Linked DNA regions of Bombyx mori. The protein of the gene in region 1 interacts with the protein of each later gene in a biochemical or structural test. Links are inferred from orthologs where the notes say so. Each region holds a gene or a part of one and is shown on either strand. Other genes may lie near its edges.

What was found. The genes of interacting proteins can lie anywhere in the genome.
Region 2: the proteins of rho guanine nucleotide exchange factor 7 (region 1) and cdc42 homolog form a complex in vitro, tested with the Homo sapiens proteins (2 studies listed by BioGRID). The link is inferred for Bombyx mori from reciprocal best matches to the Homo sapiens genes ARHGEF7 and CDC42.

Annotation. Positions count from the first base shown.
Region 1 is NC_085110.1:9,317,848-9,322,716, reverse strand, and holds the start of rho guanine nucleotide exchange factor 7, read left to right. Parts: upstream 1-1,519; 5' UTR 1,520-1,706; intron 1,707-1,945; 5' UTR 1,946-1,974; coding exon 1,975-2,158; intron 2,159-2,466; coding exon 2,467-2,629; intron 2,630-3,545; coding exon 3,546-3,764; intron 3,765-4,025; coding exon 4,026-4,224; intron 4,225-4,466; coding exon 4,467-4,688; intron 4,689-4,869. UniProt on the Homo sapiens protein: Acts as a RAC1 guanine nucleotide exchange factor (GEF) and can induce membrane ruffling. Functions in cell migration, attachment and cell spreading. Promotes targeting of RAC1 to focal adhesions. May function as a positive regulator of apoptosis.
Region 2 is NC_085107.1:13,960,005-13,964,863, reverse strand, and holds the end of cdc42 homolog, read left to right. Parts: coding exon of another isoform or gene 1-97; intron 98-493; 5' UTR 494-588; coding exon 589-766; intron 767-845; coding exon 846-955; intron 956-1,092; coding exon 1,093-1,290; intron 1,291-2,122; coding exon 2,123-2,212; 3' UTR 2,213-4,196; downstream 4,197-4,859. Other genes in the region: uncharacterized protein LOC134199721, read left to right, coding at 1-97. UniProt on the Homo sapiens protein: Plasma membrane-associated small GTPase which cycles between an active GTP-bound and an inactive GDP-bound state. In active state binds to a variety of effector proteins to regulate cellular responses. Involved in epithelial cell polarization processes.

The sequences.
Region 1 (4,869 bases):
ATATGTTTTTTCTAATTGTCTCACAATTTACAGGAAAAGTCTGTCGCGGATCATTTCCCAAGTAAATACAAATTAATCATAAGTAATTAAATGTAATCAAGTTTTAGTTATAATTTTTTTTTTTGGTTGTCAATAATGTCAATGCACTGTCGATTGCACTTGAGATGACATCTGTCATGTACTTTTGTCAGTTTTTCAAGGTTTTTTATTGATGATCACTTTGTTGATGTAACTAAATAAATAAATTAATTAAAAACAAGTAGTGCCAACCCTAGCAAAATTCTCTATTAAACACTAATTTCGTCCCTATTAACCGCAATTTCCGGGTAAATAGGGATTACACCTATTTTTGCTTTTTTTGCTTAAGCTCAAATGCAAGTTGCATAGTTTTAAATTGGATAACAAAGATACCCCCAAGACTCAATCGTTTTGATCCTGATAATTTTAAACATCCTCCCCCCACTTTGAACAAATATTAATATATTTTATTATGTATTACTTAGACATTTTTGTCCACCTTGAGATTTCATTGTTCTTGTTACATGTCTGTGCAAAACCGACTTACTTATGTTAAATTCCTTAGCTATTTCAACTAAAGATTTATTCCTAATTTCATAGGCTTCTATTACTGTTTTTAATATTAATCATATCTCTTAGAAAGTTTTGCACTCTTTGATACGTACACGCGAAGCATATCTGAAAATAGAAAACAACACGTAGGTAACTGATAACATAAATATTGCCAAACAATAAATTAACACTACATTGATAACTTTGAATAAAAGTTCTAGACAAAAACATCATGAATAAACCAGATTCTTACCAACAAATTTAAGAAATATTGTAATAACTACACAACCCTACAAACCTGTACTTATTTATACGTAGTTCGTTTCCATTTCACTTAATCTTATCCCAACTGATTCCTTTTTCGTTGTTATTTGTACCTGAGACGTCCCCAATATCCCCAAAAACAACAGATTTTTACATGTATTTTTATTTTATCAAATACATTAAAACCAATAATAATTGAGACTTACCTTTATATATATGATGGTTCAAACACTAAATAAAGTGCCTTATTCACGATCCATCTTGCTGTACGTCCCGCCAAGGCCATGCACGATGCACGATGCATTTAGCGCTTTATTCACGATCCATCACGGCTGTACGTCAGCTCAAGGCCGCAATTAATAATAATTATCGACGTACGTCAAGCCTATTCATGATCCTTTTGCATCGTGCATCGTGCATGGCCTTGGCGGGACGTACAGCAAGATGGATCGTGAATAAGGCACTTTACGTTTATAAATCACAGTCGTTTTCTATTATTATCAAATAAATAAAAGAGAGCAAATTTTCCTGCACTAAAATAATTACCACCACAAGAAGTTCACTTGAAATGCGATTTTTTATAACTTAGCAGCTATTATCATGCATATTCAGAGTTGTTTTGTGAACTTTCAACATTCTACTATTAAACTACACAAAATGGAAGATTTTACAACGAATATAAAACTAATATTGAGCGTCGAAAGATTTTCCTGGTTTTTTCCCCATTCGCCTCTCAATTCCTAATCACCCCAAAAACGGTACAGAGAAATTCATAGTTCAATTGTAATGTACGGTACTCTGTGCAGTGTTTTTCGACTTGTATTTTTTATTCATTCATGCAGAATGTAATTTTTATGTACTAAATACGAAAAGTAAGTAATTTTGCTTTAATTTTTCACATATTTTCAGTAATGTAAATCCTTGAGCCATACTGAATAGTAATGGAAATGACAGCTACTTTGAATTATAAAATAAACCATTCCGGAAGACGACAATTACTATTTGTCATGTACTCATAGTAGTTTATAATACATTTTTGTTTAAAATGAACATTTTTGGATGTTTTCTTTATGTTAAATAGCTAATAAGTAACAAAAAACTTTTTTTTTAGACTACAAATGGTGCTAAAATTTTGGTAAAATGTCAGCAGAAAATTGCTTGGTTAAGGCAATATACTCTTTTAAAGGTAAAAACAATGATGAATTATGTTTCAAAAAAGGCGATATTATTACTGTCACGCAAAAGGAAGAAGGAGGATGGTGGGAAGGCACTCTGGGTGAAACTACAGGCTGGTTCCCAAGCAACTATGTTACTGAATATAAAGGTAATTCTGCATCTTTCTAATTATTAGATCATTAACGTTTGTCATATAATTGTACATCTTATGCTTCAAAGCCACAATACAATTATAAAACAATTTGATAGTTTTTAATCACATTTTCATTAAAAAATATTTAATACTTGAAAAATTCTGCTCACTCATAGTAATTTAAATGTATTTTAATATTATTATAAGTATATTTTATTAATAAACTATAATTTGGGATTTCTAGTATTAGGAAATTATTTGTATGGGAACAATAAACATATAACTTTCTTATGAATGTAAATGTCTTTAATTAAATCAAACAGATGCATCAGGTTCAGTGACAACATCACCTATACGAGCTGTGTCTGAGATACAGGCATTCCGAAATGTGGTGCTGAAAGACATAATAGATTCTGAAAAGGCCCATGTTGCAGAAATGCAGGGTCTTGTCACCAACTTCTTACATCCTCTGGAAAAAAGTGAAATGTAAATATGTACACCATTTTATATTTATCGTTGTTAATTAAAAAAAGACAAATAAATAAGAGTGAAATAAATGTCTGTGTACTGCTATTTGCATTTAAATAATTTGGATTGTTGGGTTATCAGAATAGTATTATAGTTAATACACAATGATGGAGAATTTTGAAATTATAGAGGCCTTAAAGATACGATGCTTGGTACTCTTGTATTGATTGATGTGACTATGCTGGTGTTAAAATTATGTACAGTCAACATAATGGTATACTCTTTATTTGTCATGGAGGTATCCTAGACCTCTTGATAATTATAACTGTTACACATTAGTGACCTCAATCTAATATAAACATGCAGCCTTCTGACTACCATACATGTTAAAAAGTAACAGGAACAATTGAAAAAAAAAACAAATTTTCCAGACTTTGTGTGGTTTTATTGAGTCATATTTCATTAAATTTAAAACAAGATAATAAAGCACAGATGGCAAACCATTAGGAACAGAGTCATGAAATGAAGTCTGACATACGCTAACAGCTATTTTTAGTTCATAGCTTTATATTTATCAAACTGTTCTGTTTTTTTCTGTACACTGAAGTAAGATATTGTTAAACATTAATTGGTTCACTTTGAACAATATGAAAAGTAGACCGGTTTGTATTGTGACTACCTTAACTGATGTTGATTTGTATCTTTTGACTGGGGACATGCTTGGGGATGAATACTTGGTTAATATTAGATACAATTTGTTGATCAGAGTGCCCTTAAATATTATCCAATGACTGGATGTTTGTTGCAAGATTCTGGCGAGCATGCTGAAGGCTGCATTTTGAATTTGACAGTTTCTTGCTTGGCAGTTCATAGAGCTTAATCTTCATAAGCTTACATAGCATAAGATATACATTTAATTCTCTTTTGATTGCAGGCTAACTAAAGATGAATTCAAACAATTGACCGGCAATATAAATGAGGTCTTGCAGATTCATGAACAGTTCTTAGGGCTGTTAGAAGAAAGTGCAACCAAAACAGGTCCAGATCAGAGAGTAGGAGGATTGTTTTTACAGTGGGCACCAAAAATTAAAACAGTACACCAAACTTACTGTGGTGGACATCCAAAGGCAGTGTGTATCCTTGATAAGTATAAGTACGTTATTTGAATGCCTTTAATATAATATAAACTTATCAACCCAAAAAGTTGAGTCAAAACAACACATGGGTACTTTGGATCATTTTATTAATATTCTGTCTTTATTAATCATGTTAGCTTCTATGTTGCTTTGCTGTTTCTGCAATTTCTTAAAAATTAGTAAATTCTCACAAATTAACTATATTTGCCCCATGTATCAATTGGGCTATGACAAGTGTAGTGCAAAAAACAATGGTAAATTGGTTAATATTATTTTAGGGAGGACTTAAACACGTGGATGGAAAATGCAGGTGCAGTGTGTCCAGGGGTCCTTGTTTTAACAGCTGGTCTTTCAAAGCCATTTAGACGTCTCGGCAAATATCCAGCTATGCTACAAGAATTGGCAAGACATGTCCACGAAGCCCACCCTGACCGGGGCGATACTCATCGTGCATCTGTTGTCTACAAAGATATTGCGGTAAAATTAATATAAACAAATTTTAAGTATTAAGTGCACCGAAGCACGTGCAAGCCGAGAACACTACAATTGTACGGCAGATAAAGTGTTTTAGGAGTGTATAAAAAAGTAAACTTGTAACACCCAATATTGTTGTAAGGGTGCAAGCAAAAATAGGCTTTCAGATCTCTTCAATTACAAACCATTGTACATGCAAATTACCTAATACAGCTGGATTATTCTATTTTTTTCCTATGATTCAGAGTGCTTGTGCGGCATTGCGACGTCAAAAGGAGTTAGAATTACAAGTTATAACCGGAGAAGTTCGTGGCTGGCCCGGGGGTGAACTAGCCTCATTGGGTGACGTGTTACATATGGGCAGCGTGGCAGTGGGCCCGTCCCATCAGGACCGCTACCTTGTACTCTTCCCATCAGCGCTGTTATTACTTTCAGTTAGCAAAAGAGTATCTGCATTTGTGTATGAGGTAATATTTAGTTAATAGCTTTAACTACAGAGTTCAAAGTCGTAAATCATTTTAATTATGACAACCGGATGGTCTAATTTAAAAGATTTGAAAGAGAAGAGTGTTTTCTGATGCCTGTTATGTTTTCTGCTGCTTACAAATAAAGAAATTATTAAATTGACGTGAAATGTAAACTTTTTTA
Region 2 (4,859 bases), on another chromosome or scaffold:
AGTTATCACATCTATTGAAAGTATTTCAAAAGCAAGGAGCCTGGATTCCTTATTAGTTAAAGTCAAAATGTTACAAAAAGAAGAGTTATATTCATAGCATTAGCCTGCACAGTTCGGCTGTATACTCAGACTGTGACGATTGTGCTGTGTACTTGGTGGGACCAGGTCAGGAGTATTTATTTTGAGCAGTTGAAACCAAATTGAAACGACCCATAGGGAATGACACCAAACTCAATTAATGTGATATAGCGCTGCACAAAATATGGACATAATATGACATGATATAGTGATTCCCCTGTATGACATCATTAGGCCTCACCTTGCCAAATCCATTTAAACTTACTTTGAAACACTCAAATGGGGTGTCTTACTCTGCCACTGTATACCCCAGATATTCCACCATCCGATTTATATTTATAATTTATTAATTTATTATTCTACTATTACATTAATTTATGCCTATTTTGAAACACCCCCAATTGTTTTGTTCCAGAAACTTTCTATCAGAGTTTGCTATGAACCAAATAGTCCCTATAATAAAAGAAAATTTGGTGTACAAATTGTGAAGAAACAACTAATTGTTTAAAGATGCAGACAATAAAATGTGTTGTTGTGGGTGATGGTGCTGTTGGTAAAACATGTCTTCTGATCAGCTATACAACTAACAAATTTCCATCAGAGTATGTTCCAACTGTATTTGATAACTACGCAGTCACTGTCATGATTGGAGGTGAACCTTACACTCTAGGTCTTTTTGATACTGCAGGTAAAATTTACTATTTATTGGAAATTTGTTTTGGTATGAAAAATTAACATGCATTATAAATTATACATCTTCATTTCAGGTCAGGAAGATTATGACAGGCTAAGACCACTGAGTTATCCTCAAACAGATGTTTTCCTTGTATGCTTCAGTGTTGTGAGCCCTAGTTCATTTGAAAATGTAAAGGAAAAGGTATATTAAAAAGTATTGTAATTTATTATATAATTCATTATATACATGATATAGACTTAAATCAAAGATAGTGATGTAAAAATTAGTAAATAAGATTTAGCTAGTATGGAAACTAATCTGAGTATTTGACTTTCCAGTGGGTCCCTGAAATAACTCATCATCAACAGAAGACACCGTTTTTGTTGGTTGGGACGCAAATAGACTTGCGCGATGATTCGGCTACAATGGAGAAACTTGCTAAAATAAAACAGAAGCCGGTTTCATTGGAACAAGGAGAGAAATTGGCAAAAGAGCTTAAGGCTGTCAAATATGTAGAATGCTCAGCGCTTACCCAGGTATGAAAATATATCCCAAAAAAATATTATTTCTGATGGTAAAAATATTTTATAATATCTGCTCATGCCTGCATACCTGATGTTTGTTTAAAAGTAATATACCTACAAAGATCCAAAGAAAGTAATTAGAGAAATAGTGGATGCCTCCACTCCGATGCTGTACTGTTGCACATATAATATGTCTAGACTGCTTAAGTAATTATAGATTTCCAGGGTTATAAAAAGAAAATGATTGAAAATGTAGTATTTTACTGTCAAATATTTTAAAAATTAAATTTTAAGTTTTTTAAGTTTTAGCTTTTAAGTTTTTCTTTTCTACATAAATGAAATATAGTATACACTGTAAGCAATAATTTTCTTTGGAAAGTACATCATATTCATCTATGTCCTACCTATTGCTCTGGTGTGGTCTGTTCACGCTCCTAAAGCTTAGCACTACAAGTGGATAGTATATTCGATGCCTCCAATGAACACTACTCTAACTCAAAATTTTGAAATTTTCGTTTTTCACGCAAATCGCTTCACTATTTTAAAAGTATTACAAAATCATTATTGATGGGGATCGAAGCAAGAGTAAATCAGCTAGTTACACAAGAAAAAACATAAATATATCTGCAATAATAAAGATTTTATCAGCTTTTTTTGTTTAAATGCTCTTCCTGTAAACCTACGAATTTGGAGTTAGAGTAGTGTTCATTGGAGGCATCAATTTGATGATCATTCTAGCAATACATACATACATACATTATAGCAATACATTTTGTCAGAATTTGTCGATACAAGTTAAAAAGTTGGCAATACAATTGTGTGGATAAAATAAAATAAATTGCAGAAAGGTTTAAAGAACGTGTTCGACGAGGCTATACTTGCTGCACTGGAGCCTCCGGAACCAGCAAAGAAAAAGAAGTGTGTCCTTTTGTAAGAAGTTAAACGACCTCGCCCTACCCGCCGTTCACCTGCATGGGCAACGCTGTAATATTCAACATATTTTTATAATATATCTATAATAATACCAATATTATGCCATAATCATTAAAAAAAAGAATATTACAGAGTATTGGAATATTTGCCACCAAGTATGTAAACTGTACAGGTTGTCAGTTTTCCATTCATTATTATTATTATAACAATTAATTAAATACTAAAGATGATTTTATAGCATTGTCTTTTGTAAAAATTACTTTTATTTATACCAATTATAAAGTCATGTGTACCTATGTTTATGCAATTATTATGAAGACTTCAGTGGATAGTCAAGTGTCGTGTATAAACCTTTTCCTACATTGTACTAGAAAGGCAGACATTATTAACTCTGTAACTTATGACATGTTCTGCCTATGTAGACCAATCACTGTAATGAGATATTTGCACAACATTTGCTATGCACAGTGCGAACTATGCATTTTTGTTAGTATTATGCTATTTGAATAATATATGTGTAAATGATTGAAATTGCTATTAATTGAAACGCCTGTCTTGGCTGACAGCCGTCCATATTATGCGTTTAATTTTATAAGTTTGGTATGTTTACATAAACATATTAAAACAAGCTTGTCAGGTGAACTAACCATGTAAACTAGAATTTTATTTTTTTGGTCATTTGGACCATTTCAACTGCAATTATAAAATATATTATAATCATAAATATACAGATACAGAGTACTAGTATTTTATACTGAAATATATATATTCACTTTATACAATATTTTATCTTTTAATTTAACAAAGTCTATATTGTTAGTTTCAGTTCATAATGTGGAGTGCAATTTGTAGTAAACGCCGCAATAAATATATTCATGTTTTTTAATACATTATATTGTGAGAATCTCTCACTATCATGTCACAAGAGATCTCTGAACTGTGGTTTCTTGAATGAGCAATATGAATATACTAATCAATATAAAATACATTTAACCACTTGTCAAATCAAGAGTATTACGCTTGAAGGTGAAATTCTCACAGATAAAATAATAATATTATTAAATATTTGTAAAAGTCCCTGAATGCCAATTTATAGAATTTAAATGTGACCACAAGGACTTATTAATATGAAATTAAATGCACTGTGTAATACTCAATGGAAGACGCTAATATAAAAACCAAATAACAACATTTGGAGGAATCACTCATCCGTACCAGGTGCAAACAACAGTATTTTGACATAAAAGTATTTTGGCGCTAAGATCATTAAAATGTATCATTTCATTAAATAATCAATTCGCATATTCATATGGCACCAAATATCTGATAATTGTAAACATAATTTTCAATATAGTTGTATTTATTTCCCACTTTATATTCAATTCAGAATTCATTTCTAAAACATTGTCATAAATGTCTACTGAAAATGTATTTACTGAATATTATTGTGTCAGTAACTAGTTATGTATAGGTGTATATTGAGAAGTAAATAAATTTAAGATCAAATTATTCTCCTTATTTTACACCAACTTTACCTTGGACTTAATATTATCAGCATAAAGGAATATTTTGATTGTTTTACTGAATTTCGTTAAGAGCAATATTTAGATACTTAAACTTGTATGTAGTTAATGGAATTACATCTTCTTAAATATGTAAAATGTATCCACCGATTTTTTATCTGAAAGAAAATAAAAAATTCTCTTAATCGAAAATCAATAAAAACAACGCTCTTGATAGCAACAAAATGTAAACTGTAATGATTTTTTTCATGGATGTTTAAGATATATAATTATTTCAAGTGTGGTGATTTATATAAATTTGAAAATATTGCAAATAAGTATAAATCTAGAATTCATGTCCTTAATACTGTATCGACATTATATGAGCTGGTATGTGTTAGATGTGTGTTAACTATTTCAAAAGTCATGAGAAATAGCGCATATGTAATGCTACAATTTGATTCAATTAAAGGATTTTTTTAACGTATTTTGTTTTAATTATATCTCCTTGCACAGAGTGTGAGCCAAATATTTTAAACTACCTCAATTCCGGTGAAATTGAAGTTCTTAACTATGACCATCTTTTTACGAATAGCCTTTTGGCTTGAGCCTATATTCTTTCCCAGGTTTCAAATTATATTTGTAGTGCATCTCGTAAATTTCGGTTTAGTAGTTTGGGTAGTAGGTTAGTAGTAAACGTAACAGACGGTTACTTTAGTCTTTTCATTTATTCAAGTAAATTCGGTAACTGGTAAAAATATGCTTTTTTATAACGTTGATTTTATCGAAGCATTGACTGTGTCCTTATTCTAAATTCTGCTCCGAATTAGGCTGTGTACCTATCGAAATTACATGAAAATCCATTCAGTGGCTCCGGAGATGTGCAAAAACAAATGGATAGAAAATAAAATATTTTAGTTGTGCACCCTTTTTCTAGTTTATTATTCTTCAGTAGACAAACACTGGGATCTACTGTTTTAAATTGACTAGCCTCTACCCGCATCGTCCCCTCTTCGATGTACCATTGACAAATAATAAAAATATGTTAATTAGAAAGTAAGTGCTCCTGAAATAGCAAATATAAATAGAGAAACAAATATAAATGAAATAAAGTCATTGCGTACAAATATCTATGTTATTAGTAAC